Linked DNA regions of Ovis aries. The main gene of each other region encodes a partner of the protein of the gene in region 2 in a complex. Links are inferred from orthologs where the notes say so. Each region holds a gene or a part of one and is shown on either strand. Other genes may lie near its edges.

Evidence for each region.
Region 1: the proteins of INTS11 (region 2) and INTS9 are in contact, whole or in part, in a cryo-EM structure (PDB 8RC4), measured with the Homo sapiens proteins. The link is inferred for Ovis aries from reciprocal best matches to the Homo sapiens genes INTS11 and INTS9. Residues at the interface, in NP_060341.2 of Homo sapiens: His94, Gln97, Ala98, His137, Leu138, His139, Gln140, Thr141, Lys274, His277, Tyr278, Lys280, Leu281, Phe282, Ile283, Pro284, Trp285, Arg291, Phe294, Ser449, Pro450, Ser451, Ile452, Pro453, Val454, Gly455, Ile456, Ser457, Leu458, Leu461; in NP_060720.2 of Homo sapiens: Glu127, Gly198, Tyr199, Ser200, Gln201, Lys202, Tyr231, Glu338, Phe339, Ile342, Phe343, Glu345, Gln352, Lys354, Val355, Tyr356, Leu357, Pro358, Glu359, Pro360, Pro361, Arg511, Arg512, Tyr513, Glu514, Lys515, Ile516, Glu517, Ile518, Met519.
Region 3: the proteins of INTS11 (region 2) and BRAT1 are in contact, whole or in part, in a cryo-EM structure (PDB 8UIB), measured with the Homo sapiens proteins. The link is inferred for Ovis aries from reciprocal best matches to the Homo sapiens genes INTS11 and BRAT1. Residues at the interface, in NP_060341.2 of Homo sapiens: Leu9, Val15, Gly16, Lys27, Met35, His36, Met37, Gly38, Phe39, Arg43, Asp47, Tyr50, Thr58, Asp59, Asp62, His70, Leu71, Asp72, His73, Asp87, Gly88, Gln97, Pro101, Ile102, Glu105, Arg108, Lys109, Val112, Asp113, Lys114; in NP_689956.2 of Homo sapiens: Asp25, Thr27, Cys28, Glu30, Lys31, Asp34, Pro117, Ser156, Ser157, Leu158, Phe159, Ser162, Lys358, Ser359, Cys366, Arg367, Arg424, Arg427, Thr465, Lys468, Lys469, Trp514, Glu515, Asp518, Ser519, Glu522, Tyr560, Ser564, Ser604, Glu605.
Region 4: the proteins of INTS11 (region 2) and INTS4 are in contact, whole or in part, in a cryo-EM structure (PDB 7BFP), measured with the Homo sapiens proteins. The link is inferred for Ovis aries from reciprocal best matches to the Homo sapiens genes INTS11 and INTS4. Residues at the interface, in NP_060341.2 of Homo sapiens: Pro183, Trp191, Lys194, Asp212, Gln288, Gln400, Gln404, Lys462, Met465, Ala466, Leu469; in NP_291025.3 of Homo sapiens: Leu159, Asp161, Thr162, Arg167, Tyr203, Gln207, Asp244, Ser292, Gly294, Trp296, Arg299, Lys323, Met326, Ser327, Asp328.
Region 5: the proteins of INTS11 (region 2) and WDR73 are in contact, whole or in part, in a cryo-EM structure (PDB 8R22), measured with the Homo sapiens proteins. The link is inferred for Ovis aries from reciprocal best matches to the Homo sapiens genes INTS11 and WDR73. Residues at the interface, in NP_060341.2 of Homo sapiens: Tyr206, Thr208, Thr209, Ile210, Arg211, Asp212, Ser213, Arg215, Cys216, Arg217, Glu218, Arg219, Asp220, Leu222, Lys223, Lys224, His226, Phe255, Arg258, Met259, Leu364, Val384, Glu385, Tyr386, Ser388, Lys418, Lys419, Glu421, Phe422, Gln425; in NP_116245.2 of Homo sapiens: Asp5, Asp6, Leu8, Val9, Ser11, Leu12, Tyr15, Gln16, Phe18, Tyr19, Ala20, Phe21, Asp22, Leu23, Glu50, Leu52, Arg59, Leu68, Phe69, Pro70, Glu71, Arg72, Asp73, Phe74, Lys75, Val76, Gly79, Phe81, Asp116, Ser117.

The regions. Positions count from the first base shown.
Region 1 is NC_056055.1:103,361,931-103,368,217, forward strand, and holds the start of INTS9 (integrator complex subunit 9), read right to left. Parts: upstream 3,912-6,287; 5' UTR 3,825-3,911; coding exon 3,816-3,824; intron 1-3,815. UniProt on the Homo sapiens protein: Component of the integrator complex, a multiprotein complex that terminates RNA polymerase II (Pol II) transcription in the promoter-proximal region of genes.
Region 2 is NC_056065.1:50,519,468-50,525,859, forward strand, and holds the start of INTS11 (integrator complex subunit 11), read left to right. Parts: upstream 1-2,579; 5' UTR 2,580-2,701; coding exon 2,702-2,729; intron 2,730-3,626; coding exon 3,627-3,724; intron 3,725-4,138; coding exon 4,139-4,212; intron 4,213-4,501; coding exon 4,502-4,730; intron 4,731-6,392. Other genes in the region: CPTP (ceramide-1-phosphate transfer protein), read right to left, coding at 1-130, 272-405, 663-689.
Region 3 is NC_056077.1:41,040,875-41,047,155, reverse strand, and holds the start of BRAT1 (BRCA1-associated ATM activator 1), read left to right. Parts: upstream 1-1,223; 5' UTR 1,224-1,248; intron 1,249-1,648; exon of another isoform or gene 1,649-2,206; intron 2,207-2,464; 5' UTR 2,465-2,647; intron 2,648-2,732; 5' UTR 2,733-2,748; coding exon 2,749-2,875; intron 2,876-4,164; coding exon 4,165-4,319; intron 4,320-6,100; coding exon 6,101-6,248; intron 6,249-6,281. UniProt on the Homo sapiens protein: Component of a multiprotein complex required for the assembly of the RNA endonuclease module of the integrator complex.
Region 4 is NC_056074.1:15,730,565-15,736,399, forward strand, and holds the end of INTS4 (integrator complex subunit 4), read left to right. Parts: intron 1-183; coding exon 184-304; intron 305-4,100; coding exon 4,101-4,279; 3' UTR 4,280-5,359; downstream 5,360-5,835. UniProt on the Homo sapiens protein: Component of the integrator complex, a multiprotein complex that terminates RNA polymerase II (Pol II) transcription in the promoter-proximal region of genes.
Region 5 is NC_056071.1:21,614,113-21,618,965, forward strand, and holds the end of WDR73 (WD repeat-containing protein 73), read right to left. Parts: intron 4,194-4,853; coding exon 4,029-4,193; intron 3,698-4,028; coding exon 3,338-3,697; intron 2,206-3,337; coding exon 1,970-2,205; 3' UTR 1,565-1,969; downstream 1-1,564. UniProt on the Homo sapiens protein: Component of a multiprotein complex required for the assembly of the RNA endonuclease module of the integrator complex. Associates with INTS9 and INTS11 in the cytoplasm, stabilizing the INTS9-INTS11 heterodimer and blocking the active site of INTS11.

The DNA.
Region 1 (6,287 bases), on a different chromosome or scaffold from region 2:
TCACCTTGCTGCTGCTGCTAAGTCCCTTTAGTCGTGGCCGACTCTGTGCAACCCCATAGACGGCAGCCCACCAGGCTCCCCCGTCCCTGGGATTCTCCAGGCAAGAACACTGGAGTGGGTTGCCATTTCCTTCTCCATTGTGTGAAAGTGAAGTTGCTCAGTTGCGTCAGACTCGTAGTGACCCCATGGACTGCAGCCTACCAGGCTCCTCCGTCCATGGGATTCTCCAGGCAAGAGTACTGGAGTGGCTTGCTATTGCCTTCTCCATACTCACCTTGGTGTATATATATATTTTTTGCCTTAAGCATAAAAGGTTTAATCTTCAGAGTCACCATCAGGACTTAGAAATGCCCGAGAGTAAAATACCCAGTTTAATCCCAGAGCACAGCTGAACAGTGGTCTGGCCTTATGTCAGTTTTCAGACCTCGAGGAAAACATTCTAAAGAGAAAAAAACCCTATCATACTGAGGTGGTGATAGAAAGAGCCTTTTGAAAGCTAGAAATGACATTACACCATAGGGACACACGAGGGCGCTCTAATCAACTAGCAAAGAGAAACACAGAGCTAGTGAAACCAGGTTGACATTTTAATAATTGTACTGAAACAGGTGAATTAAGTCCTGGTAAAATTATGTTTGTTATTTACAGCAAGCCATCTTCTGTTCCTGATCCAAAGTTTGAGAAGCCAAAAGGATTTTGCAAGTCTTAAAACTGCAGGAAGAATCCACTGTTCTCAGATCCAAGGTAAGGATTAAGCACATCCCTTCCCAAAGGGATATGCTTAAAGGGATGTGTTTTTTAAATTGACCTTGAGGCAGGATTTGCCCCTTTCAAGCCAGTATTTTCTTTCAAATCTACAATTCCACTTGGTGCTTTACCTGTCCTCAGCTGAATGAATCCATTTCTTTGCTCCATCTGCTTTCTTAAGAAAACTGGAGAGTTACAAGTTTGCACCTGTCCATCCCCGCCCAAAGCCAGTAATAATGAAACAGCATTTTGTAAAAAAGGAGCCCAGACCGCTGAAGAAAGTAACTCACGGCCTTATTGAGGTTTTAAATTCATAAATACAACTACAGCATATAATTTTCTCCATCAAATTCAGAGTATAGCATAGAACGAGCGTTTAAGTGACCTTTCTTTCAGATCTTTAACAAGAGAGCAACGGAACTGCAGAAAGTCCTGGATTCTGAGGCAATCAGGCTCGTTTCACTAAGGATTATCAGTCATCTTAAAATCACATTCAAACTTTCGTCTCAGCAAAATTACAAATAATTCCATGTCATTGATCCTTGGGGTCAAATTCAATAGTTAAAATGCAAAGTATTAAAACTTTGAATGCCACGGGTATACTGTGTTTGTATAATACATCCTTATTGACTGAATAAACTAGAGGATTCTCTCCAGCTCTGGAACTATCTACAGGAAGTGTGACAAATGATTTATTTTTGAACCGCTAGTTATTTTATTCACTTTAACGTTCATCTATTTGAATGACTAAATTCCTGGCCATGATGTTTCAAACTTGATTTCTGTCAATGAATTTGGTTTTTTTTTTTGCGGGGGGGGGGGGGCTCCCAAAGTCTTTTGTTAAAGACCCCGGTGAGTTCAATTTTCTATGCTTTGCTGAATTTGGCCATCAGGGTATACCCAATCAGGTTCAATCGATACTAAAAGGAGAATAGGCTCTAAAATGTGCTAGAGGATATGTTTCTAATTTTCCTGTTCTTTTCAAAATTGTCCTGATTAATTGAAGATGAATTTTCCTCAAAAAAAGTTGCCTGATATTACAAAGAAAAAATGAAAGTGTTAGTCACTCTCAGTCATGTCCAGATCTTTGCAATCTCATGGACTGTAGCCCACCAGGCTCCTCTGCCCATGGAATTTTCCAGGCAAGAATACTGGAGTGGGTTGCCATCTCCTATTCCCAGGGGATCTTCCTGACCTAGGCACCGAACCCGCATCTCGAGTTGCCCGCACTGGCAGGTGGATTCTTCATTACTAGCACTACCTGGAAAGCCCAACTGTATGGGAGGCAGGACAAAAAAGAAGTCTAACTTGCTGTCAGTGTTTCTGAAAGATACTCCTGTATTATAAATCATCAAGTACCAAATGAGTTTTAGTTATTAGGTGGATGAACAATAAAGAGGGAAGGAGTATAGATAGAACAATCCCTCTTCCTCTGAGGCATTTTATGGTTCTTAAAGGAAAAAAATGTTCCTACTTTTTCCACGTTTTCACATCTCTAAATAAAGTAAGCAGGAGAATTTTATAAGCAAACCAAAGTATATGTACATTAAACCCTGGCTCTGATACAATCAGCAAATGAGTTGTTATAGGAAAAAACCTGCTTCCCACTTGCCTGCCTTCGCACCACACACATCAACCATGATTTATCTTTTATTGACGACACCTGGTCTGTGTTTCAACCATTCAGGTGCCAAGCTCTTTGGCTTCTCTCAGCTGAACCCTCTTCAAGGAAGGCCCCAGCGCACTTGACCTTCTTATCAGTTCAAGAACTACCTTTCCAAAGGAGCTGTATCTGACTCCCCCACATACCCCCAGTATCCTCTCAATCAGCAAACCCTAAACATGATGACTCCTTTCACCCAGATGGAGGTGAATTATAACTTTTTCATTACTTTGTATCTTCTTCATTAGATTGCATGCTTCTTTAGGACAAGGGTGGTGATTTTCAATTCTGCATTTTGAAATGTTTGGAAAACTGACTCCAAAGCAAATTGACACTCTCAAGGTCTACTGATCTGTGCGTCCTTCTAATAGAAACAGCTTTAGATAGAGACAGTTTTGGAATTGAATCCACCTTTCTTATGTTCTCTGCCATCTCAAAGAACAGCTGACACTGTGCAGAATATATATGCCTGTACCGTGTGTGGGTACATACACACGTACTTTTCAAAAGCATGCTCAAATAATTAAGAGAAACCTTTTGTTTTTCCTCAGAAACTTCAGAAAGTAAAGCCTGACAATACCTGGCTGCAGGAACATGACTTTTAAAGCCTGAGAAACAGCATCTCACACCTTCTCTACTCAAATTATGCTATTACTAATTCCAATTAATTAGTTGGAGTAAGTTAGTTAAATCTGTGCACACTGAGAATTAAATGGCTCAAAACAAAAGCCTGAACAGCTTTCCTATAAGCCAAGCGTCTCAAGTTTTGTGATGCAGAACTTTTCCAGGTATCCTGGCATGCTCCATATAACCTTAGCTCACGCAGTCCCTACAGCTCTAGACTGTAACGCCAGTTAACACTTCCTCTCAGCCCATCTTATACAGAATTTAAGACTCAAACCATCCAAGATCACACTCTGACTTCGACCTCCTTTGAGTGATCAAGGGAAGTTAGGGGTCTATAACAGAGAATTAAATAAGAGATTAAGATCGGCCTAGAATTTTCTAAACTCTGTTCATGTTACCAAACCTTCTCAACAACTGTAAAAAGGAACGCTTCAAGTATCAATCCCGTGGAAAGAAGTGTACCAATTATAACACTCACGTGGCAGGCGGGAAACAAATCAAACCTGGTTCATAAAGTCCAACCTTGGTTCGTTTGTGAAGAAAGGTGACAAGATTCAATCTCTTATCTAACCAAAAGGGCCGCGCCAAGGGATGAATTGCATCTAGCAGTTGTGAAGGGTCTGCGTTGGAATTCAAACTCAACAACAAACATCAGCTTTCCTTGGTCCACTCCACCTTCTAGTTTCCTGCCACCCCTCGTCCGCGACGGTTCCCTTCCCAAGGTGGAAACGACGAATTCCAAAAGGATATGCCCTCCGATCTAAGAGCAGAGACTCACCAGTTTCATGCTGGACTTTTGGCTGGTAAGGAGCAGTTCCTCGACTTCTCAAACCCAGAAAGCGTCTTCCGGTTCAATCTCCACGACGGGCCCGCCGAGAGCATCGCGGGACATGCAGTCTTTTTTCCCCCTTCGCTCCTTCCCGGTGCATCATGGGAAATGTAGTCATCTCTCCGTGCATCATGGGAACCGTGGTCATCTTTCCTTTTCCTCTCCTCTTAGAACGCCTCCTTCCGTCAGCTCAAATTCATCCGCGCCGCCAATTCATCCTGCCTCTTCACCCCAGCATGATATCATGTCCCTCATCTGGGCCCAGAATCCATGGTATGCTGGGATGTGTAGTCCCTACGGCTCTGGCGCCCCTTTCCCCTCCTCCCTGTGGGAAGGCGCACTGGCGCGGTACTTGCCGGGAGCTGTAGTTCCTTGGGGCCTCGGGACGCAGAGTCCCGCACCTTTACTCAAGGGAGACAAAAACTACAACTCCCAGGGCCGCCCGGTGGCAGCAGGTGGGAGCGGGGCTGTTGATATCAATATGGCGGTTGTCAGCCAGACAAAGACAGTCAGTCTGATGTGATTGAGACAAGGGAGGTTTTTCAGGGGGAGACTGGGAGATAGGGGCCTCCCCTCCCCCTTCTCCTCTTCCTGCGCCGGCCTCAACCCCTCCCCAGACCCCTCCCGACGGGCGCCCCACGCGGAAGACACCCCTCCCCCTCCCGCTTTCCCCTCCTCCCTACCTCAGACCTCAGCCCTTCGTACCGGGACGTTGGGGAGGGGGCTGTGCCGGGCGGAGAGAACTCAGCAAGCATTCTGAGGTGAGTCGAGTGGTTTGGAAGCCTCAAGTCTCTCCAGTCTCTTTCCTCACTTCTTTCTCTTCACTTTTTTTTTGGGGGGGGGCGGTGTTGGGGGGAGTAAGTGAGTGGACTGGGGATGAGTGTCTTAAGCGGCCCAACTGAGAGGTAGGAGGAAGCGTGGGGTTTCGCGGGGGTGACCCGAACGCAGGGTCTGGGGTGGGGCAGTTTGTGGGGGCAGTAATTGAAAGGCGTCGGGTGCTCCCAACTCTTTTCTCCTGGTTGCCTCCCCAGTGGGCGGAAGGTTTGAATCCTGGAGGTGGGGTCTCCAGTTTGGAGTTTGGGAAACTGTGAGGGGAATTTGAGGTGCGTGGGTTTGTTTGGGGTGCAGAGCTGTGTTTGAAACTGGGTGACGTGCACTCGGGCGATGGGTTAGCCTTGAATAAATGTCTCAGGAGAGGAAGTTCGAGAGCCGGAGTCGGAGCTGTTAGCTGGGCCTGGGCGGAGAGGCGTGCGCGAGGTGCGGCTCCGGGACCTCTGGGCTAGCGGAGCGGCGCGGGGTGGCCTCGGGGAGCAACTCGTTTGTGTCCCATCGGCGGCTCACACTCCTCCCCGTCTCCCGGGACCAGCTCCACCGCAAACTCAGGGCAGGCGCCTCGGAGAGATGAGGTGCGGTGGAGATGGCTTTTTGCATCCTTAAGTCGGTAGCTAGGTGGGAAAGGAAGAGTGTTCTTAATATTTTATTCCGGAACCGTGTTTTGGTTACACTATTGGGGCTACTTGGAAAGGAGTCCTCCACCCATCCTCACCCCGAAACAGTAGGTCTCCTTGGTCGTCTTCACCTTCCATAGATGAAACATTACTTAAGATTCGGGGGCGGAGGGGTGGGGGTCGGGAGTGCCCACTTCTGTACGCGACCCTGTGTGTCTGCTGAAGACACGGAATGACTGTTGTGTATCCTGTGGTTGGGTGACTTATTTTCGTAGTAGGAAAAACTGTTGGAAATTGTTGAGGGGGGTGCGTGGGGACTCGCTAAAAGGCGCAGCTTGTATTTTTCTTCTACCCCACCCTGTTCTGTCTCGCATTTGGCTGAAAGCTGGTATGGAAGCGAGAGGAAACATTGGGTGAGTGAAGGGGAGAATGCAGTTGGCATTACAAATACTATACTATGTAAAGTTGAATGATGGTTTAGAGTGATTACCGTTTTTATTTACCCTGAAGCTTTAAAAATCTTACGTATCATGTAGGGTAGAGTGATGTAACTAGTTAATTTCTCTGGGATCCTGCAGGTGTAGAAACCTCTGCCATCTCTCTCTCTCTGCCTGCCTGCCTGCTCTCCCTCCCTCTCTTCCGTGCTTCGTTTCTGTTCTGGCATGGTACATTTCTCTTCTTTGATGGACATGCTGCCTCCTATGCCTGTTTCTTTAGTTGGTTCTATGTGGTTGTGCTTTTAGTGGTTTTGCTGTAAGATGCATCTTTCGATGAAGAGGACCTGCATTTGGTTTTAATTTGCATTTATTTCGCAGGTAATTATCACATCAAGATTGTAGTGCTTTGCGTTAAACTTATTTTAAAATTGCACAGCTGAGTTAGATCTAGTTGAATTAAGTGTGTAAGTTGAGGTTGGGAAATTTGAATTCTGATTTTTTTTCCCCCGAATTTCAATTGGAGTTACAAAGGGAAG
Region 2 (6,392 bases):
GGCAACCATGGCCTGCAGGCTGCTGTAGTGCTCTTGTTGGGGGCCACTTCGCAGCTGGTCCATGATCTGCAGCTTTGTCACCACATCCTTGGAGATGAATGAGAAGATGGTGCCCAGACTATTCAGGAACCTGCAGGAAGAGAGCAGGCACTCTCAGCCTGGGTGTGGGCGAGACCACTCCCACCTCCTGGACCGCAAGTGAGGATGGCCGACCTGCACTGGGCCAACGGGATACAGGTGGGACGTGTGGCCGGGGAAGCCCCTCGCGCACCTGACCAGCCCCCTCCAGCCAGCGAGGTAGTATTCCAGCAGCACCTCCTCCTTCTCATTGAGACACTGCTTGAAACTGACCAGGACGACTTTCAGATTGAACTCTGACTCCAAGTCATCCATTTTCAACAGGAGCTGGAACACACAGGGGGTTGGGCTGTGGGTTGTCTCCTGGTGAGAAGGCTCCTCTTTGGGTCATTATTTTGGGGAGGGGGAGTGGAGGCAGTTGGGAAGAGACAGCTGGGATCCCATGGCTCCCCAGTGAAAACCCATGAGGACTCCCACCCCCAGGTCAGCCCCTCCTCCCCAGAAGCCACCTTGCTCTGCTTGGGCTACAGCAGGGCCCTTTGCTTTAAGCATGGCCCCCCCCCCGTAACTCAGCCTTGCCAAACCTGATACATCTCACTTGTGGAAAGCATCTGTGCTCAGGTTTTCTTGCTTGTTTATAGTCTGTGTCTCTCCAGGGTGTGTCTGTTCCTACTGACTGGAGAAGTATTTGCTGAGTCCCCACGCAGAGCCAGGCAGCCACCTGGGTGCACTGTGAGTGCAACCAAAGCCCAGCCCACTGGGGTGACATCCTAGTGGTGGGTGTGTGCGTGTGTGGTTTTTAACAAAGACAGGAAGTCCAACCCAGCAAGTAAAAGGACGAGAACCACGGAGAGACAGACCGTGGGCGGAAGCGGGGGGGTGGGGTGCGTCATGACCTTCCATGCTTGAAGCTATATCCCAAAACCCAGAACAGAGGCTGTGGGGTCAGCGTTTGCCAGAGGACAGACACCAGATGTTCCACCCCTACAGTAACTGGAGCTTGGTGAGAATGTAGGAAGAGGGCAAGGAGATGTCATGTCCCACACAGAAGGCTGGACACAGGCCCTCTCCCAGTCCCAGGGACTCCAGAAGTGCCCCAGGCCACAGAACTCCTCTAGATTCTGCTGGCATTCCCATAGGCATGCCACAAACACCCAAGTGCCCAAGGTTAGCAGGTGCTGCTGGACACCCCAGCCCCTGCCTCCCTGAGTGCCCAGGGCTGCACTGTGGTGTGGCTCTGATGGGCCCTGGGGACTAGGCTGTGTCTCATCTCATTGTCCAGGACAAGCTCTCACCCTTTGGGCACAGGGGTTCCTGGGCCCTCAATGCTGGAAGGCTTGTAAGAGCCTGCATGAGAGGAGGCCATTTGAGCTGTGGTGAGAGCCCAGCCAAGAGAGCACATGTGGGTCCCTTCCATACCATGGGCAAGTCATGCACTGACCTAAGATCTTGTCCCACAGCTTTAGGGAAAATGGGCCAGCACACCCTGCCCTGCCCATCACCCAGGTTGCTGGGAGCCTCTGATGGGGCCCAGTGGGTGCTGAGGCCCTGCAGGCCCTCTGCCTTTGCCACATGCCTGGCACTAGGTGGAGGGCCCGGTGGTGAGCTCACTCCATCTTCAGGTGTGGGGGACAGCAGTGCCTGGCCTCAGGAAGAAGACAATGGGAGGCTTCCAGCATACTCCTCCCCTCTCTCAGGGCCTCAGTGTCCTGTCCACCAGACAGATGGCCTTTGAGGCCCTCAGGGCTACCTTCCTGGTCACCAGCCATCCTATGGGCCTGGCCTTCCTGCCTGGAACCTGAGCCAGCAGTCAACGGGAGGTGCCAGCAGCCTTTCAGAGCTTGGAAACAACAGGAAGGGCAGTGGCGGCGCAGCGGGGTCGGGCAGGCTGCCAGCTCCGGGGAGGTGATGCAGGGAATCGCCAAGGCTCCCCCAAGGGCAGCCCATGGCCCCAAGGTCAGGGCTCATCCTGAAACTGACGGCAAGCTGAAGGTCCCTAGGAAAAGAGGGCTGCCCTCCGGCACCCCAGGCCCAGCGGGTGGGAGCGGGGAAATCCCGGAAATCTCGCCTGAGAAGGGGGCTCCAGGTGGCGCCAGGCTGGGACCCAGGACTCGGGTAGGGTGGGGCCCCTGTCCTGCGCGGGTCCTGCTCCAGCTAAGTCCCTAGGGAGGGGACAGGGGCTCGGGGTCCGGGCCAGCGCTGGAGCCGGGTCCTCGGCCGCCTCCTCCCACGCCTGGGGGCTCCCGCTCCGACCCCTCGGCAAGGCCCAGGCCCAGCTCGGTTGGGCTGGGATTCCCCGCGCCGCCTTGAGCCCGTCGCGCCCCACTCACCTGCGCCTCCGCTGCTCACCTGTGCCGCCACAGCAGCCACGGGGCGGGCTGCCCGGGCGTCGGCCACAGCCCTACCGCCCCGTCGCCCGGGACTGGCTGCTGGCCGCCCAATCAGAAAGCACGTTGCGCGGGCCAGCGTTTCCGTCCGGCACGCCGGAAGTTGGGGCCGTTGGGAATGCGCCTGCGCCGTGCATAGCCGCGAGTCAGGCGCGCGTGGCCGGGACCGGGTCGCGGGCCCCGGGGTCTCGTGGGACCGGGCTGATCCTGCCCGCTCGCTTGGCTTGCCCAGCAGGATGCCCGAGATCAGGGTCACGCCCCTGGGTGAGTGCTGGGCGGCGCAAGGAGCGCCCGAGGAAGGCTGGTAGGGGGCTCGGAGGTCCGGGGACCCCGGGACGCGTCTTCCTCGCCGCGCGGCCCCCCGCCCAGCACCAGTGCTTAGTGCACCTTCCTCCTGCCTCTGCGTTCGCGCACTCGCTGCCTTCCACCTGTTCCATATGTCTCGAGCCCCGCTTCCCTGCAGCCTCCGTTTACCCGTGGGCCGTTCACCCCACGTCAGTCAGACTTTCTTTTGCTTGACCGGCGCAGCGTTAAAAACAAAAACCAACGTCTCTCCCGCCCCCAGCTTGCCCTTTGCGGAAGATATAAGTGCATAGTTTAAAAACAGTACAGCAGTGCGAAGGAGGTACAGCAGGTCACTCAGAATGGGAACAGCCGGGGTCTCTGTGCACAGGTGCCAGGGGCTTTCCGGAAACCTGCCCCCCTGCCACGGCCATATATCCGCAGCGTCTTCTAGCAGGGTTGTTCCCCGCAGCTCTACATGCTCTCTTCTATGGTGCATTCTCAGAATAGCCCACCCAGCCTCCCGCTGCAGTGGTCTTCCCCTGGCCGTCCAGGGCACAGCACGCATCCCGCCCCGCCATAGGTGTCCTCACACCTCTCCTACCTGTTGACTCCGGTTCCCCTCTGGTTGCTTCAGCTCCATGCTCTCCTCACACCTGGTTCCTCTCCAGGGGCCTCTGCAGGGTTCTTCCAGCCTGTTTCCCACTGTGGCATCTTTCTCACCACTCACTTTTGCCAGCCTTTTTCCCCTATGACATCTTTCTCACCGCGCACCCTTGAACAGTCCTGTCTTTTTACTGCTTCTTTTACCCCAAATCCTCACTGGGCAGTGGGAGAGAGGGGGGCATGGCTGTCCCTCCGACTGGTCCTCCCATACAGGGGCTGGCCAGGATGTGGGCCGAAGCTGCATTTTGGTGTCCATTGCGGGCAAGAACGTCATGCTGGACTGCGGGATGCACATGGGCTTCAGCGACGATGTGAGTCTCAAGGGTGGGCGGCCTGGCATCCAGCCTGCACCTCGGCGTCATCACCGAGGGACCTGGGCCTCGGAGTCGCAGGCTTTGACTATGGAGGAGGAACGGGGGCAAGTGGGCACTGGTAGGAGGGCAGCCCCCACCGTCACCCAACAAGTGGAGCACTTGGGTCAGACTGTACTGGAGCCAGGGCACGGCTGTGGGGTCTCAGCTCTCAGGTACTGGCTCAGCAGCCTGACTTCTGCCCTACATGCTCAGGGGTTCTGAGCAGTCGGTGGCCTCAGTGGGCCTGCAGGGTGTGGGTGTCAGGCTCAACTGCATCCTGACCCAGGGGCCATCCCCACAGCCCTGGCTGCCCCACAGTCACCTGAGCCCTGGGCAGGCGGCATCCTGACACTTTTGCTTCTCCCCCCACAGAGGCGCTTCCCCGACTTTTCCTACATCACCCGCAGTGGCCGACTGACCGACTTTCTGGACTGTGTGATCATCAGGTGGGCGCCTTCCCCACCCACAGACCCAGCCACCCACCCAAGTGGCATACTGGTTCTTGTTGCCCTGAGCCCCTTCCTGTTCCTTCCTGGAATGTGAAGCTGACCCCATAGTAACTGCCTGCTGGTGGCATCGCTAGACACTTGGGCCTGAGTCCCTTTTGCCCTCTCCCTCTCCCATGTTCAGGGCCATGTCTGACACATAGCAGGCCCTCAGTGAGCAGAGGAATGGGGGTAGGGTTGCTGGGTGGAGGGTTGGGGGGCATCCAGCTGACTGGTGCTGCGCCTGCAGCCACTTCCACCTGGACCACTGCGGGGCACTCCCCTACTTCAGTGAGATGGTGGGCTACGATGGGCCCATCTACATGACCCAGCCCACCCAGGCCATCTGCCCCATCCTGCTGGAGGACTACCGCAAGATCGCCGTGGACAAGAAGGGCGAGGCCAACTTCTTCACGTCCCAGATGATCAAGGACTGCATGAAGAAAGTGGTGGCTGTCCACCTCCACCAGACGGTGCAGGTCAGCTCCCCACCCCCGCCCCCAACTCACTCTGCTGCCATCCCAGGGACCCTTGGAGGCAGAAGGTGAGCGTGGGGCCCAGCTCAGATCCAGTACTGAGCAGGGCTCCTGCCACTCCCTGGCTCTGCCTGAGTGTGTGGAAGATGCCAAAGAGGGCCAGTGTGCCATCTGAGTACACGGGAGCAGGCCGGGCAGGTCAGAGACCAGAGTGTGGGCTCATTGCAGTGGACTGACTCAGGGTGGAGGGGTAAGACTTGAGGCAGGCGAGTGACATCAAATGTAAAATTTATCACAAGGATCATGGATTTGTCTGTTTCTTCTCAAGAGTCTAGGTTTTGCTTTTTTTCATGAGTCTGACATTTGGGGTCATCTTATTTTTCAGATTGAACCCTTTGTTGAGTTGAATCATTCATTGAGTTGTATCCTCAGTAATGCTTTATCTTCGAGTCTGCCTTTCTGGCGAAAGTTCGCCCCTCCCACACCTTGAATCCTTGCCCTTCTTAGTACTTTTATCCTTTCTGCAGCGTGTTTTATTTTTGTTTTTTGGCTGCACTGTGTAGCATGTGGTATCTTAGTTTCTTGACCAAGGATCAAACCTGCTGCCCTTGCAGTGGAAGTGCAGAGTCTTAACCACTGGACCACTAGGGAAGTCCCTCTGCATCATATTTTAAATGTGACTCTTTTCCACGGCTTGGCTTTAATACAACCTGATGGCCTATCCTATAGGAGAGGTGTGCACTCCATGTGTAATAATTTGGGATTTAGGTGTATCGTTTTCTGTTTACTTCCAGTTTGTCCATCTTGTTCTATTTCCTTTATTGTCTTTTTCCGGACTGAGTTTTTAAAACTCCATTTGTCTTCTTATTTTATAAGTAATTATATGTTCTTTTGTAATTCTTTTTGTGGCAGAGATTACAAAACACATCCATGACAACTCAGCTCTAAGGTACTTGGAACTTTTGCCTCTTTCCTGGACAATGAAAGCATCTCAGAGCATCTTGAATTCACTTACCCCTCTCCTACTCACCAGCTCTTATTTCCACATAGCAGGATTTTAATTCTGTCAGCCTATGAGGCCCCAAGGCCCTCACCATTTGCTAGGTACCATCTCCATTATCCTAGCTGTGTCCCTGCTCCTTCCCATGGTCTTCACTTTGTATTTGCAATGAAGAGCATCAGTATGGATCTGCTGGTGACAAATGCTCTCAACTTTATTTATCTGCAGATGGCTTTATTTCGCCTTGATCATTAAAGACTTTCTCCCCCCAAAAAAAAAAAAATTAAAAAAATAAAGACTTTCTCCCTTAGGTTCAGAATTCTAGGGCAGCAGGTACTACCAGGACTCATGTCTTCCACCTGCTATTTGTAGGAGAATCCTCTTGGGCGGCTTGTGGGATTCTGTCCTTTCCTGCAGACTGGCAGGTGGCTGTGCTGGCTCCACCTGTTCCCTTCCTGCTCAGGTGTGAGGCCCTGGAGCTGCCCCCAGCTTCCTCCAGGCTGACTGGAGATCTTTCTCCTCCAGACCCTCCACTGTCCTCATGTCTGTATTTCATTCTAGTTAGCCTTTTTAATTTATTTTAGTTCATTAATTCTCTTCTTGGTTGTATATAATGTGCTGTTAAATTCATCTGTTGAATTTTCTTTTTAAACTTGAAATATAAT
Region 3 (6,281 bases), on a different chromosome or scaffold from region 2:
CCGCGACCCCGCTTCCATGGCAACCGCACTAGCCCGCCGAGCCCCGGATGTGGCGAGCCCGGCCGACTATAGGTGTGCCCGGGGACACCCTCGCGCCGACCGGCTGCGCGCCCAGAGTGTGGGGCGGAGAGCGGGGCGGAGCTGAAACAGCGCTCTAGTTCCCAGAGCTGTCATTAATAAATATTTGGTAGGTTAACGCTGAAAGGGACAGGGAGTCCACAGCCTGCTAGCTCTGAACGCCTGGCATTGAGAAAACCATCTTCCTGATCTCGGATCTTAGGCTCAAGGGTTATGATGTAAAAAAAAAAAAAAGTCGCTGTCGTGTCTGACTCTTTGTAACCCCATGGACTATACAGTCCATGGAGTTCTCCAGGCCAGAATAATGGAGTGGATAGCCTTTCCTTTCTCCAGGCGATCTTCCCAACCCAGGGATCAAACCCAGGTCTCTGGCACTGCAGGAGGATTCGTTACCAGCTGAGCCACAAGGGAAGCCCAAGAATACTGGAGTGGGGAGCCTATCCAGTGATGTAGTCAGAGGACAAAAAAAAAAAAAAAAAAAAGATCTTAGGCCCAAGGGTTATAACGCAGTCACAGGACAAGAAAAAAAAAAAAAAAATGAGTTTACACTCGCTGTATTCAGTGTGTATAATGAAGATCTTTGGGCCCGTTGGGCTGCAAGGTTCATTTAAACTATTAGCAAGCATAATCTGCCCTTTCTCTTCCCACAGGCCTCCAAGGGCATTTACTCTGTTCCTCTGCCCTGCTGTATTTTTCCAGCCCCTGACCTTTATTATCTACAAGAACTCCCTTTGTCTAGAATGTAAGCTCTCTGGGGCAGGGCTGTTTCCCTCCCGACTGTACTGCTGTCCCTTGGAACAGTGTCTGGCACACAACAGGTGATTAATCAGTAGGTATTTGGCGCCGGGCGAGTGATAGCTTCTCTGTGCTTGTGTCCTCTAATATAAAGGGAAAGAAAGAGCTGCTGTGAAGAGCGCCAAAGAATTGATGCTTTTGAACTGTAGTGTTGGAGAAGACTCTTGAGAATCCCTTGGAGTGCAAGGAGATCCAACCAGTCCATCCTAAAGGAAATCAGTTCTGGGTGTTCACTGGAGGGACTGATACACCTGATGCGAAGAACTGACTCCTTGGAAAAGAGCCTGATGCTGGGAAAGATTGAAGGCGGGAGGAGAAGGGGACGACAGAGGAGTTGTTTGGATGGCATCACCGACTCCATGGACATGAGTTTGAGTAAGCTCCGGGAGTTGGTGATGGACAGGGCGGCCTGGCGTGCTGCAGTCCATGGGGTCGCAAAGAGTCGGACACGACTAAGCGGCGGAACTGAACTGAACCGAACCGAAAGTGCTTAGAGCAGCTGCGGGTTCCAAAGTGCGCGCTGTGTGACACGGAGGGAGTCCGCACACCGGGCAGGTGGTGTGGTAGGATGATGACGCTGGTGGGCAGGGACAGTAAATGCATTCTGAACCTAGTCAGGATGAAATCCCTCTGTAAGTAGAGGAAGTCGTGCCTGCTGCGCGCCTGACATCTTGCTTTGCTGGCCAGCTCAGACACGCGGGCCTTTGGTCGGCGAGGCCACGCCCCTTCCGCCGAAAGCCACGCCTTCCAGGCGCAAAGCCTGCTGGGTTCCGGTGCACACTCCTCTGAGCGCCCTGGTCGGGTGACGGGCCCAGGCAACGGGCTTGGCGGCGGCTTGTCCCGCTCCTCCTTAGCCCGTTCCCTGAGCCTGGGCCTTTGGGGCTCTCAGAGTGGCCTCCAGGGGCGTCCTCCCCGTCCTCGCCTCCTCCAGTCCCGGCGGGTCGCGCGGCCCGGGGCGGGGCCTGCGGCGGCTGAGGGAAGCGAAGCGGGTGAGGCGCGCACCCGGGGAGGGGTGGCGGTCGCTGTGGAGGGCCCGGCGGGGTCGAGGTTAGGGGCCAGGGCCTCCCGGGCCGTAGAACCGCCTGGGGCCCGCGTGCGCGCCCCTGGACTGGGCCCCAGCACCACCGCAGCCGCCGGCCTGGCGTCCTCCTTGGGGTCCACGGGGAGGGCGCCTTCCTCAAGAACGTAGCTTGGCCAGGGATGGACAGATGGACGTCCCAGCTTGCTCTTGACCCTGGCAGACAGAGTCACTGGCCACCCCATACCCCGGCGAGAGCCCTTCCTGCCCACAGGACCGATGGGCTCCCGGGCCTCTCCCAGGCCAGGCCCGCAGGTGCTCTTGCAGTCCCTGGAGGAAACAACAGTGGGCAGGGCGCCTTCCCCTCCGCACACTGCTGGCTGCAGGGTTTTCACACTGACTCTGGGAGGGACAGACACGGAGACAGACACCTCCCAGCTGGACTGAGACCCTTACAGCTCTGACTGACTAAGCCGATCAGCCTCCTACACGTGGCTGGCCCCAGAGAGGCATGCGCCCCTAGCTCGACAGGCCTGCAGCCTAGATCAGTTTCACGCTCTTTCCTCCCACCAGAATCCAGAGTTGGCTGCCTTTGAGCTCCTGAGGCTGCATGGTTTACCCCAGACTCCCATCTCCACCGCCAGACTCGAGGGCTCCAGTTTGCTCTTGACAACCTCCAATCTTACCCCAGCCAAGGCTTCACCGCAGTCCTGGCGGCTTGGAGTTTCCCTCTGAAGAGTCATCACCTGGCCTGAGGTGAAAGTCCTGGGGCCTGGTGGGGCTGGGGGCTGCCTGTGACTAGGCGGATGGGGTCTGGCCCTGCCTGACATCTCCTCTGCAGGAACCCCAGCCCCATCATGGACCCAGAGTGCGCCCGGCTCCTCCCGGCTCTCTGTGCTGTCCTGGCAGACCCCAGGCAGCCGGTGGCAGATGACACTTGTTTGGAGAAGCTGCTGGACTGGTTTAAGGCAGTCACTGGAGCAGGTACGGTGGGGGCAGCTGCCGACTCTGCCCAGAGGCCGGAGGGTGCAGGGCTCCCGTGTGCTAGGAAGAGGCCGTCTGTCTGGGGTCGTTCTTCTACATCTTAGAGAGTCCCCCTGGCTTGTCATATTTCCTCGCGCACAGATTATGGTTAGGGTTAGGGTGTGTAGGCTTTCCTGGTGGCTCAGTAAAGTCCCCTGCCAACGCAGGAGACTCGGGTTCAATCCCTGGGTCAGAAAGATCCCCTGGAGAAGGAAATGACAGCCCACTCCAGGATTCTTGCCTGGAGAAGCCCATGGACGGAGGAGCCTGGCGGGCTACAGTCCACGGGGTCACAAAGTCAGAAACGACTTAGTGACTCAACAACAACAGGTGTGCGTACACGCACACACACGCACATACATGCACACACGCGTGCACACACGCACACACACACACACACTCTTTGAGAGTGTTTTCCATTATAGTTTATTACAAAATGTTGAGTATAATTCCCTGTGCTTTACAGTAGACCCTTGTTTATTTTAAATGTAGTAGTTTGTATCTGCTCATCTCAAACTCCTAATTTATCCCCCCACCTTCCCCTTTGGGAACCATAAGTTTGTTTTCTTTGTCTATGAATCTGTTTCTCTTTTTCAGATAAGTTAATGTGCATCATTTTTTAAGATGCCACATGTAAGTGGTATCAGACGATACTTGTCTGACTTACTTCACTTAGGACAATAGTCTCTAGGTCCATCCACGTGGCTGCCAATGGCCTTGTTTCACTCCGTATATGACTGAGTCGTAGTCCGCTGTGTGTGTGCAACGGAACCACACCTTCTTCATCCATGCGCCTGTTGGTGGACGTTTGCGTTGCTTCCATGTCTTGGCTGTTGTGAGCAGCGCTGCTCTGGTGTGTAGACACTTCCGGTGCCATGTCTGGAGAAGAATGCCTGTTCCCTGCGTGTCTTGCTGTAGTGCTCTCCGTTTAAGAGAAAATTACCCACTGGAGAGGCGAAGATTTTCTGCTGCTCTTATTTGTGTCTTCTTTTCATAATCAGCAGGACAGAACGTCTTTTCGGGTCTGCTGGCCATTTGTATTTCCTGTCCAAGTCCCTTGCCTGTTGTCGAGGTGTTGTTGAATTAGAGTAATGAGTCCTTTGAAGCAGTTGTTGCAAATACTTCTCCCGGTTGGACTACTGAGTCTAACAGCCTGAGAGAGGGGGTCTGGGAGTTGCCAGAAGGACGGTCCCTTTTGGAGGCACGCACGGCGCCCTGGTGACGTGCGTCCCGGCTGGGCCTGTCCCCAGGCTCCAGTCTCCTATTACTGCAGGAACACCCCTGCCTGGTAGAGCTGCTGTTCCATGTGCTGAAACCCCAGGATCTGAGTTCCAGAATCCTGTCCTTCACACTCCGCCTCGCAGGGATCTTTGCAGCCCAGGAGAACTGCTTCCAGTTCCTCCAGGTGAGCCTGGGCCTCCCACCTGCGTGACCCACCTTCCCCTGCAGGTGCCTAGCAGCGGTGGCTGTTGTGGCCCCCGAGCCTCTGAAACTCGCTTTGCCCCCGTACCTTGACGTGTTCCACAGGGTTTTTATTCCTGGGTATAGTCCTCCTTTGAAGAATTCACCAGGAACGGATTGGGGTGGAGGGTGAACTTTTTGGAATCAGACAGAGCTGGGGTTGGGCCTCTGCCCCTTCGTGGGTGTCCCTCAGTTCAGCAGTGCAAGCTCCTAAGGCCCCGCCCACCCCAGCTAATGGTGGGGCAGACTTTCCAGGGTGTTCCACACTGAAGCCTGTTATAGGAAATGACTTCATGTCTGATCATCCTTCCGTACATACCTCAGCGTTTCCAGAGTCACGTTCGGGTTATCCTGAGAGCCCTGGCCAGTTCGCAGGTCAGGAGCCATCACCTCTGTCTCCGGGTGAGGAGACAGCGAAGGCTCAGTAGAGGAACGCCACAGGACCGGCAGGGCTCACAGCGGACCCTGCAAAGTCGGGCTGCTGGCGTGGTCGGTCACACCATCTGCCTCCCTGAAACAGATCCTCAGTCCCGATCACGTGGGTTTTCCCAGCTCCTCTGACTTCTGGGTGCTCCCTGGTTCCCGTCTCTTCTTCTCCATCTCCTCTTTCTCCTTCCGGCAGCCAACCGTGGCTGTGGAGGCTTAGCAGGCCGCGGGCTGCCCTTCTGTCTGGTGGCTGGCCCCTGCATACGGGGACAAGGGACACGGCAGGTTTGAGCCCTGCGTCGCAGAGGCAGCTTGCCTTGGGCCCTGGGCCCCTGGCACTGGCCTGGGCTCCTGTTCCCTTTTTGGCTTCCCTTTCACAGAACCCCAGGGCTGCTTGTCAGTGAGATGCTCAGCATGGGCCCCATCTGGGCAGGGGGCATGCAGACAGACGACATGAGGCTGGCGGCTGAGCCTCGGTGCCCTCCCGCTGGCTGCAGGCTGCCCCCAGGAGGGCTGTAACTTTGGGGGGGCATTTAGATGAAGGGTGATCCCACAGAGGGCCTCCCTGTGGGCTGCCGCCAGCAGCGGTGCCCCGTAAGGCCGTCGTGGGGTCAGACTCACCCTCCAGTGATTGAAAGAGCGTCTTTTCGGCCCAGGGATCCCGCACCCGGAGTCTGAGGTGACTAGAGGCACCCTGTCCCTCGAGGGTGGGGCCCGCATTTTATTGTCAACATAGACAAGGCTCTGAGCAAGTCACAGCCCCAGGGAGGGGCTCTGGGGGAAAGAGGCAGCCCCCGAGTTCCCACTCACTGTACTGGGCCCTGTGGGGAACAGGAGCCTCCGGCACGTGGCACGAGTCAGGGCGGTGCGCTGCTGTGCCGCAGGTGGACACCCGTGCACAGATGGGCACTGAGTGGGGAGTCGGGCACTGCCTGCTGCGGGCGGGGCGCAGCGGGCTCGCAGCTGGGTCCGAAGGGCTTTAAGCAGGTGTATGTGCAGGGCAGGCCTGACACATGGGGTGTGCTGGGGGGTCTGGGGCGGGGGACATCTGGAGGAGGGCACGAACTCCACGTGCCAAGCGCAGAGCCCAGGGGGCTGTGGAGACCTGCGGGTGTCTCGGGCACAGGGCGTCACGGTCAGGGGGGACGTTTGGCGTTTTGGCCGGCGTCTGCGGTGGGAGGGGCTTCTGGAGCGGACTGTGACAGGGTCGGAGCCTGAGTCTGACACCCAGCCCTTCCCAAGCTCTCTCCCTGGGAGGCAGAGCCGGACTCACTCGGCTCATTCCTCCTTCACTTCCAGCAGGGGGAGCTGCTGCCCGGGCTGTTCGGGGAGCCGGGCCCCCTCGGGACAGCGGCCTGGGCGGCCCCCTCCGTGCGCAGCGGCTGGATCCAAGGCCTGCACTCTCTGGCGCAGCACCCCAGTGCCTTGCGCTTCCTTGCAGACTCGGGTGAGTGCCCCGCCCGCGTCTCTGCCCTCCCCA
Region 4 (5,835 bases), on a different chromosome or scaffold from region 2:
GCTTACACTGGGGGGAGGGTAGAGAGATGTTGACAGTATCGTCCTCCCCACAAGGAGCAGTTTGTTATGAAGGATGGTGTCATCTTTTCCTCTTGCTTTGGGGTTCACAGCAGATGTCACCAGTAATTTTGTTAAAAGCTCATGGCTTTTCTGGCCCTTTTTCTCATGTCTGTCACCTCTTAGGTCTTATATCCAGATGGCCAGGCTCAGATGATCCACCCTAAGCCAGCAGACTTTCGGAATCCTGGCCCAGGGCGGCACCGGCTTATCACTCAGGTGTTCCTCTCCCACACTGCCTGGACAGGTAAGGAGTCAGTGGGGGCAAGGCATTTGTTTTTTATAGTTTGGAAAATACGTGATTGAACCAGGCCTGCTGAGGGTTGAACTTGATTTCCTAAGGTGCTTATAAGCTCAAACTGGGTGCATTTAGACTAATTTGCTGCATTGCTTTGATTACACACAGCACAAAATTTTTTCAAAAGTTTACGATAGAATGGAGTCTCATGGAAAGAACTGTGGGCTGGACACCTGGAGACTATTTTCTTATTGTAACTTTGTCATTGACCTGCTGCAAAACCTTGGACAGGCTACTCTCCCTTCTGAATCTTGTCTCCTCACCTTCTAAATTAAGATGACAATTCTTAATCTACTACTTAATTCTGAGGACTAGTCTTTCTGGAAATTAAACAGTTTTATATTTTTTTACCAGTAATTTAAAATCACTCTTTTTGTTATATGAACAGTTCATTTTATTCCCCCAGAAGAGGTACAATGACAACTGTTACTGCCTTCCCTTCCCACACGGGCTGGTTTGTGGGGTAGTGCAAAAATGATCTATTCATACTTCACCCTACAGCGTCTGAGTAGAAACTTGATAATTTGAGAAAATAACAGAAGCTACGTAAGTATTTTTCCTTAATTCGTAAAGGATAAAATGAGAGAATACGAACGCAATGACATTGCATTTCCACAGTCTGTAAGGCGCTCTGAAAACTTCAAAAAGAGACTCAGTCTGCAGAGCCTAAAATGTGGGCGAGAATGGGTCTCGGTGGTGTTGCCTCAGTTGTTGAAGATGATTCAGAAGTATGGTTGTTACTGGAGATGGTGTTCAACACCAGCAAACTTGGTTTGTTTTGGAAATAGATGAATGCCTTCTGGAATTTTCTTTCATTGTATTTTTGAATACATGTGTAATTATTTATTGCCGCTATTAGTGGTTTTCCCCAATGAAGGGTGTTAGGTGGGTATAGATGACTATCAAGTTTTCACAAAGAGGAAACGGTGCTATTGAATGTCAGAGCAGCCCTTTTGGAGGTCCAGTGGGCCTGTCACAATTGAGGGAGCTTCCAGCCAGGAAGCTGTTCCCAGGATCTGCCTCCCTGAACATCTCTCACTCCATATCCTTGCTGTTGGAATGTTCTGCACTGTTTGCCACAGTGCAAGTCTACAGGAAGATAGAGTTCCTTATTCTAATCTCTTTTGGTGAAGGGACCCTAGATATGGGGAAATAAATGCTGTGGGACAGCATTGTTCTGCAGGGGCCAAGGCTCAGGGAAGGCAAAACAGCATATTACAGCTCAGAAGAGCTTGAAAGGTTTCAAGGGATATATTGACTTGTCCCTGGTCATACAGCAGCTCACTGCATGAACCAGGCATACAATTTGGGCTGTCCTGAGCCTGAAAAATTATGATTCACTCAGGTTTACCTTTGAGAGGCTGCTACCTAGTCATAATTTAAAATCTCCGTTTTAATTTTCTACTCAGCAGTTACTCATGTCAGATGTTTTCTCATCATTTGTTGACTTTATCTCCAGTTAGAATGTGGGCTGCTTGAGAACAGGGAACTTGCTCATCACCTTTACCTCTGTGTTCCCAGAACCTCTATATCTCATGTCCCTAGTGCCTGACATGTAGTACATGCTCAACAAATAATGAAAATGGAATGTAGGGTTTCAAGTTTGCAATAAAAATTCATTTAATTCTTAGATAACTCTGTGGTGGGAGTTAGTATTCTGCTCTTCATTTTACAGATGCATAAGTGGAGGCCCGTGTAGCCGATTAATGGTGGCTTGGGGGCCGGCATGCAGATTTCTTAAGTGCCTTGTTTTTTCACTATACCATCCTCCCATCTGGCCTGGGATACTAAAGTGAAATGTGTTCTCATTCTGAATGCACCAGCACTTTCTTCCTCCTAACCCAGGAGACGAGGCCTGGTGTTGGGAAGGGACTACTTCTTGTCCCTCAGCTCCCTACCTAGGGCCTGGCTTTTGGGAGACAGGATGCTGCCAGGCCTGGAGTCACATAGACAGGTTTCCAAATTCTGCCTTACTTACTGTGATCCTGAGAAAGTTATTTAACCTGTCTGTCTCATTTTCCTTTAAGACTGTAGAGTGGTAATATATACCTCATAAAGACATACTCTTCTAAGCATGATAAACAGGTTGCATGATTGGCCCCAGACGATCTTTTGTTTCTTTTCCCCACTGTCTTCTCCCTCTTGTTTTTTTCTCTCTGCTCCCTTCCTCTGATGGCAGAGGCTTGAATTGCCCCCTTCACATGTGCTGGTGAGGGAAGGCTTAATGACCAGGTAGGGTTCAGTTGTCTGACCTTACCAGGGTTTGGCTCCTGAAAGTGCTGTGAGAGCCAGGGCTGGGTTGTGGTTCAAGGGTTGGCGGTAGCCATCTAGGACACAAGAGAAGAGCCTGTTGGGAGAGCTGATACTGGAGCCTCGGACCAGAGAGCAGTGCTGGTTTCATTACAGAGACACTGAAGGCTGGTGAAAGGGCCTATGGTAAATGGTCCTGCTGAAGCTGCTGTCTGGGCTTGGCTGGGTTGCTCTGGCCGGCTGCCAGCCCTCCCTTCCTGGAAGACAGTGATCTTGTCTCTATTTTGATCCCTAGGGAGAAGTCTGGAAATAACAAGGAACATGTCTGGGGAGGCATTGAGAAGTCCTGGGACCTCTGCCCTTGTTCATTTTCTGTTCCATCAGCCCTCGTTGCTGCCCTTTAAACACCTTACCCTTGGGCTCAGCTTTAAAACTTGCATCTTTCATGAAGTAAGGAGGTTACCCAGTCACACAGAATCGAGGAAGACACCCAAACTAGCTGTGTTCTTGTCCTCTGCACCTGGCGTTAGGTCTTTCTGAAACCCTCTCCCTCTTCTTTATTGAAGCCACATGGTTAATAGAAAGATTAGTGTTTCAGTTTATGAACTGAGCTCAAATTCTGTCACTAGTGTGGATTTGGGCAGTCACTTAGAAACTCTCAGTACCTTGGGACTCTTTTGGGATCATGACGATCTTTCTTTCATGATGCGGCAGGGTAAGAACTCTTGGAGTTATGTGTTTGGCACCAAGCAGGTGTTCCATTCCAGAGCTTTCCTGGGTACCTTCGTCAGTGCTTTTTACAGACTCGCGTGTGAACTGTGCTCTACACAACTGTCTCTGCCTCCTCAGCCAAACAGCAACTTAAGGGAGGTCTTATTTATTTTTGCTGGGCCTGCCAGGTGCAGACACCAGATCAGTATTGTAATGTCTGTCATGAAAGAATGGAAGGTTCAGTGACATGATTTTATGTCCCTGAAATGTGTTCCTGTTCATAATGAGTGTTTTCTGTCCAAACTATTTCCAGATGAACAGCTTCTTCTCCGCTAATGCAGCAGAGTCCACTCTGCACATAGCCCTCAGGTCTGAGATCGGCTGTCCAGAAAGAGCATGGTTATCTGGGCACAAGAACTGGCCACATGCACACACCTTGTGACCCTCTGTCTTGGAGGCTGGAAGGCCTCTGTACAAGAGGGTTTTTTGCTTGCTCTCTGAGCATCTCAGCAGCCATGGATCTGAGCTGCAGGGAGCCCAACAGACCCGAGGAGGTGGCAGTGGCAGAGAGATAGCAGCACGTCTGTAGCTTAGGAAGAACCTCACGGTATTCAGGCTGGAAAATTGTGTTTGTTTTGCAGATGGGGGAAGGGAGGGATGCAGACAGGTGAAAAATGTTCCTGAAACCCCTGCTGCCTCCATCTTTGATCTTGCTTTTACTTGACATTTCATCCCAATTCCTGGGCGTTGCCCTGTCATTGATGATTTTTGTCTTTTTTTCTAGAACCCTGCCAGGTGGAAGTGAGGCTGCTGCTGGCCTACAACTCCAGTTCACGCATTCCAAAATCCCCCTGGATTGAAGGTGGTGAGATGTCACCCCAGGTGGAAACCGGCATCGAGGGCACCATCCCCTTCAGCAAGTCTGTAAAAGTTTACATAATGCCCAAGCCTGCAAGGCGCTGAATCACAAGCAGCCTTTACAGCCGTGGCCTAGAAGGCCCTTCTTGGGATCAGAGTGAGCCAGAAGCCAGAACATTTCACCTGGAAATGGTATATAGGCATAAGGAGGAACATGTGGCCCTTGCAGTCTCATCTGTATCAAGCATTGGATAAATTATTTTGCATTAATTAAGAAAACAAACCTTCAAGTCTATCCTGCCCCCGACCCCCAACCTCCATAGCCCTGCCCCCAATAAAATTGAGACACCAAGCTGCTCTAGTCCCTGGTCCTTCAGGGAATCTGTGTGGCTGTAGGTTCAACATTTATGCTACATGTCTACATTCTTCAGGTGTGAAACAAAAAGATCAATTTTCTAGCTACTTCTAAAGAACCAGTTATCGGAGCCATAATCTTATTTCATAAAGCAGCAGTCTGTTTGTCAGAGCCAACCCCAAAGCAGCTTTCACAGCTTTGCTTTTTCACCATCGACAGTTCCTGAATGGCCCCAGACTTCATTGTCTTGCTGAGAGTCTCCTTCCTTAACTCAGGCAATGGCTGGCCAAGAACTGAATGGACAGCTGAAGAATGAATCATTTTCATTCTTCAGGAAAATTTTTCATCTTGCCTGCCATTATCCTTAGGACCAAAATATGAGAGATGGGCCATATTTTAGAAAAGAAACCAGCATTATGGGAAAGAGGGATCTAGTATAAGAAACAGAGTCATTTTCCAGTGATGACTTCTCTGATGACTCCAATGTTGGAGCTGCATGTGAGTTAAAGATGCAGCTGTGGTGTAAGAACAGTAAAGGCTGTGAACCATGTGAGGGCCTGTGCTGGGTTCTTCACCTGTCATTTATTCCTTGTAACAGCCAAGTGAGTCTGACAGGTTAGGTCATTGGTAGGAATACTGTAATAACACCTGTATTCATTCAGATCCAAAAGGAGTCCAAAGGTCTGAGCTATACCACATCAGGAGAAGTATATGGAAAAGAACCTACAAATCTCTCTTGTGCCTTAATTTTCTTATCTGTAAAATAGAGATAATTATACTTTATGGGTTGTTGAATGGGTTTAATTAAATAATGCTTGGCAAAATCTTAATCTCTGGTCAGTCTTGATCATATTTGGTGCTTGGAAAGCTAATAAAAATAACAAGAGCATGCAGTTCCTCAGAGGCAGAGCTGGAATTTGAATTCAAGCACGTTTGACTTCTGGTTTAACACACCTAATGTGTGCCCAGCAGTGTTGCAAACCCTTTAATGAATTAATTCATTTAGTCCTCAAAACTATAGTGTGAAGTAGGTGCTATTATAATAAACCTAATAGTAGGTTTTAATTAAAGCAGTTGAAGTTCAGAGAATTTAAAGAAGCCAGGATTATGGGAAAGAGGGAGCCACTATAAGAAATAGCACTTTCAGCTCCATCTCTGATGGCTGCAGTGTTGGAACTGCCTCCTTGGCCTAGGTCGCACAGCTGGTAAACTGTGAGCTGGAATTAGAACCTGGGTGGTCTGGCTCCTGGAGGTCATGACTGCTATGGAGAGACTAAAAGAAGATCACCTCCGTGGCGTTTACTTT
Region 5 (4,853 bases), on a different chromosome or scaffold from region 2:
ATGTGGTGACTTGTCTGGGCAGAACCACATGCCCCAGAGTTCACCCCTGTGTTTCCAGGTAGAGTAGGCCACTGAAGATTTTTCTGAGCGAGACGTGGTGGGTAGAAGGGAAGCCGCAGGTATCCTGGTTCCACGCTCAGGAGATGGGACAGGTGCAGCGGTGTGACTCACACACATGGCTGGCGACTCCATCTTCCCAAGATCCTCTTAAGCTTCTCCCAACCCTGGGCCAGGGGTGTGTTAGCTCAGTGCTAGAGTGTACCCGCTTCTCCAGGTGACCACAACGAGAACTGATAGGTTCCAGCTGGTCCTTGCCCTCCCCTTCTTGTCTGCCCTGTGGGCCCCAGGCTCCAGCAGCAGATAAATGGAAAGACAGCAGCCTTACAGAGACCGTGGGCCCAGCTCCCACAAGTACTGTGGAAGTAACTCCTACTGGTCTGCTTCTCTGACTACACCCTGGCTAACACTCCTGAGTGTGAGGGCTAAGTCGCTCAGTCGTGTCTGATTCTTTGTGACCCCATGGACTGTAGCCCAACAGGCTCCTCTGTCCATGGTGTTCTCCAGGCAAGAACACTGGAGTGGGTTGCCATGACCTCCTCCAGGGGAGCTTCCTGACCCAGGGATCGAACCTGTGTCTCCTGCATTGCCAGGCAGGTTCTTTACCACTAGCACCACCTGGGAAGCCTGGCTAACACTCCTACTGATCAGAAACTCTGGGAACAGAGCCCAGCAGTCTGTCTTAACCAGGTGATTCTGATGCATGTTAAGATTTGAGAATCTCTGATGTAGGGGAAAGCCTTTTTACAATTACGTGTGCTGAGAACCTAACTTTCTATACACACACACAAGGAAAGTTTTGCATCATGGAAAGGTTAGCATCAATATACCTGAATGTCCCAGAAATTCAACTACTGCATAAAACTTGAGAAAACAGTACATTCTTTTGTGGAGAACTTTCCTCAAGGGTTTCTTCATCAATTCAGAAAAACCAGGTCCTTGACTTTCGAGGGTGAGTCACAAACGCAGCACCCGTCTGGGTCTGTAATCTTGGCTGCCCAGTTCTTGATTTTACCACATACATCCAGACTTGAGGGACATGAGTATGAGTAGTTTGGGGAGTTGGTGAGGGACAAGGAAGCCTGGCATGCTGCAGTCTGTGGGGTTGCAAAGAGTCGGACACAGCTGAGCGACTGAACTGAACATACAGGCAGGGGTCTGATGACCGCATTAGGTGGAAGAATGGCATTTATACTGAAATACAAAGTTTCCTGTTATTTTGTTCCCTTGTATTATTTTTTTTAATCTTCTTTTAAATTGCTATTTCCTTCATTGCTACTAGGGTTGACATTTTTTATGTTTATTTGCCACTATTCCCTGGTGGCTCAGACAGTAAAGAATCTGCCTGCAATGCAGGCAACCCGGGTTAAATCCCTGCATCAGGGAAGATGCCCTGGAGGAGGGCATGGCTACCCACTCCAGTATCTTGTCTGGAGAATTCCATGGATAGAGGAGCCTGGAGGCTGCAGTCCATGGGGTCACAAAGACATAGACACCACTGAGCAACTAACACAACACCACAATACATTTCAGTTCTGTAAACGAATTCACAAAACTTGTTTACGGTTATTAGCTCTTCAGACTCTCCATACTGTGAATACGGACAGGGCAAAACACTGCCATTCTGCACTCGGGAGAAATGGGGCTCCCAGAGCTAAGAGCAGTTACCAAATATTTATTGTGCCATGCATCCTAGCAGTTATCTTAAAATGTATTACTTCTGACTTTCCCAACAGCCCTGCCAGGTAGTTATTACCAGCCTCATTTTACAAATAAAGAAACTGGGGTGGGCTGACAGGCTGGTTAACTTGCTCTCAGCCACTCAGCTGGTAGCAGGGCCGTCTGCGGTCGCCTGAATCTGTCTCCTTGCTCCGCAGCAGCTTCCCAGGGCCTGGGCTGAAAGATGCTGGTGTCAGCGAGAGGCACAGGGGTCCACCCAGTCCCACACATGCAGAGAGGCGTCACTGGCTGCCGATAACACAGTCCTTGGTTTGTAGGGGTGCCAGGTGTGGGTGGTGACCAGCGGGGCAGGGTCCATCCCACTGTCGTCTAGGAAGATGTGACCTCTGTGAGTGAAGAGAGGTTCCACTTGGCGCCCCACTCCAGCCCAAGACGTGACATCATAGACCTGGACCGTCCCGTCGAACCCTGAGGAAAAACGAGAAGAGAGTGTTGACGCTGTATCTCTGAAACTGTTTTTATAATTTGCTCCGTGGAACCAAACAGGCTGGAGGGTGAGGAATCAGACAGTAACGAGGTACTTAAAGACCACCCGAAGGGCACGTGACACGTGGTTAGCCACGTCGACAGCAGCTGATGGTGTCGCAGAGCACGTGCTCATGAGCATGTGTGGCCTGTCCATCATGGGCCAGGCCCGGGGCTAACCCTGCATTCTCTCTTTTACCCCTCAGGACTATATGAAGTAGGTAGTATTTTTTTTTTTAAGTTTATGTATTTAGTTGTAGCATGTGGGATGCAGTTCCTTGACCAGGGATCGAAGCCAGGCCCACATTGGGAGCAAGGAATCTTAGCCACTGGACTACCAGGGAAGTTCCCATGAAATAGGTACTATTATTTTCCCCAAGAAACTGAGGGTGAAGAGACTTTTCAAACCTTTTCTGCTAACCCCCAATTCTACTCTCTCCACATGTGGGTCCCTCCCAGCACATGGCCTTGTCTCCTACCTGATGGGGGAAACAGAGACGCCTAGAGAGAGAGAAACACCCCAGAGACACCTAGAGAGAATTCCTCCAGCCCGGCTCATCTCTCCTGCCCTTTCTGGAGCCGGTTGTTATCAATGAGCCTCTCCTGCTCTCTCAACTATTGGCAGCCTCTCCCCACTCAGAGGATTCTTCCGTGGGCTTTAAGATATCTCATGGCACACCCTTATTCAGCTAGATGCTGCCAGGTCAGACCCAGGAGTCTGCTGCCCTCCCTGGCTTGCTGTGATTCTAAAAGTGAGTAGCCTGAGAGGCACCCGAGATCCTGTCACCTCTCCCTGGTTCACCCCATGGCTGTTCTGGTGCTGTCCCACCTGCAGGCTTCCGGACCAACCTCAGAACCGAATTCCTGCTGGGACAGGAAAGGCCCGCTACCCACATATGAAGTTTGGTAGCCAGGATGAGGAAGGGCCATCCCTCACGAACCTGGAGAACTAGGAGCTTTTCTGTGACAACTGTACCTTCTGGGGCCACATTTATTATGGGGCTGTGGGCTCCCTCCCGAGCACCTAAGAGTCCCCTGGGAGAGAGACGAAGTGACAAAGTCCTCTCAGCAGTACCTGAAATGGCCAAGCAGTTGTCCAGGCTGGGGGCCCAAGTCACTCGCAGCAGCTCTGGCTCAGGGCTGGGCATGGACACGGGGCACTGGACTGAGCTCACGGGCTGGCAGAGATCCCGGGGGTCGAGAAGACAGAGCTGCCCGTCTGAGCCGAGGCGGGCAATGCTGGGCCCAGGGCCCCGGCCCCCAGCTTCTGCACACCACCGCCTTCCAGCGGACCCAGGGCCGGGGCCGAGGTTCTCTGACGGGGCCCACTTCTGGCGGGTGTCAACCAGCCCCAGGCGGCCTGAGGAGCAGCAGAAGGCGAAGGTGTCCGTGTCCAGGACCTGCAGGCTACTTAGCACATCATCGTCACTGACACCTGGAGAACGGGGCGAGTGAGAAAAGCTGCTGCAATCAGATGGGGCTGGTGGGCCCAGCCAACGGGTGGCCAGTCCTTTCCTTGGCGAAGCTCCCCAGCAGCCCCAGGCTGAGTGAGTCACGTCCCTGGTGCCCCCCATCTTGCAGGTGCACTCAGCTGGCTGGGTGCTGCTCTCAGGACCACCTCCCCACACCCAAAACAGGAGCCCCTGAGGCCAGGCCTCGCCTCTCATTCACCTCACTTCCACAGCAGCGGGCACGCAGGGCTGAATTTGGATTCCAGTGTGGCTGAGCAGGGCTGGGGGGGGAGGAGCTGGAAAGGACTGTGGTACCTGAGGTGTACATGGTCTTCTGTGAGTCCAGATCCACCACCTTCAGGCTGCTGAGCCTCGTGCCATGGAGGATGCCGGGTGCCACTGATGGGAAAACGGCCACCCTGGGCCAAAGAGGCTCCTCGCTCTCGTGCACATCAATGGTGCTGACAGCTCTGATGACATCTGGCGGGAAGCGGGAGAGGCTCAAGTCCAGAATGTTAAGGCAGGTCTGCAACATCGCATGGGAAGGGCCAGGCAGAAGGTCAGGGGAGAGAAGGAGCTCACTGTCGGCGAGGGAAGATGTGGAGACGCAATAGCCCCGCACTGTGCTCCTGACTCTGGAGCTGTCAGGGGCACTGCCATTTCTCTATGATTTGTCTCATGGACTGTTTCCCAAACCGGAGGGAATGAATGACAGCGGCCACATCCAGGCCCGCCAAGCAGCTCTGGCTTTTTATAGTTTTGTGGAGAACAAATAAAGGAAGAGAAAAGAACACACCGGCACTGTCGTTTATAACAGGAAGAGTTCACGAAGTAACATTATTTCTTCAAAAACATGTCCCGTGACCTCAAGCTGTTTACTGAAGCCTAGCAGGTGAAGGGTACAACACAGATGTCTTCAAATGTAAACAGGGCAAGAAAGTCCACGTCTTTTTCACACTGAACATCGACACACTTGACCTCAGGCTAAATCAGACTCGAGCTCTGTTCACCTCAGCCTGCTTGGACAGCAGGCAGGTTCCCATCCTCTGCCACCTCCATGCGTAACAGTTCAGAACAAGCAGTTTGCTGTACACGCTATTGTTACTTAAAGGGAGACACCCATTTTCCATTTTCTAGCTC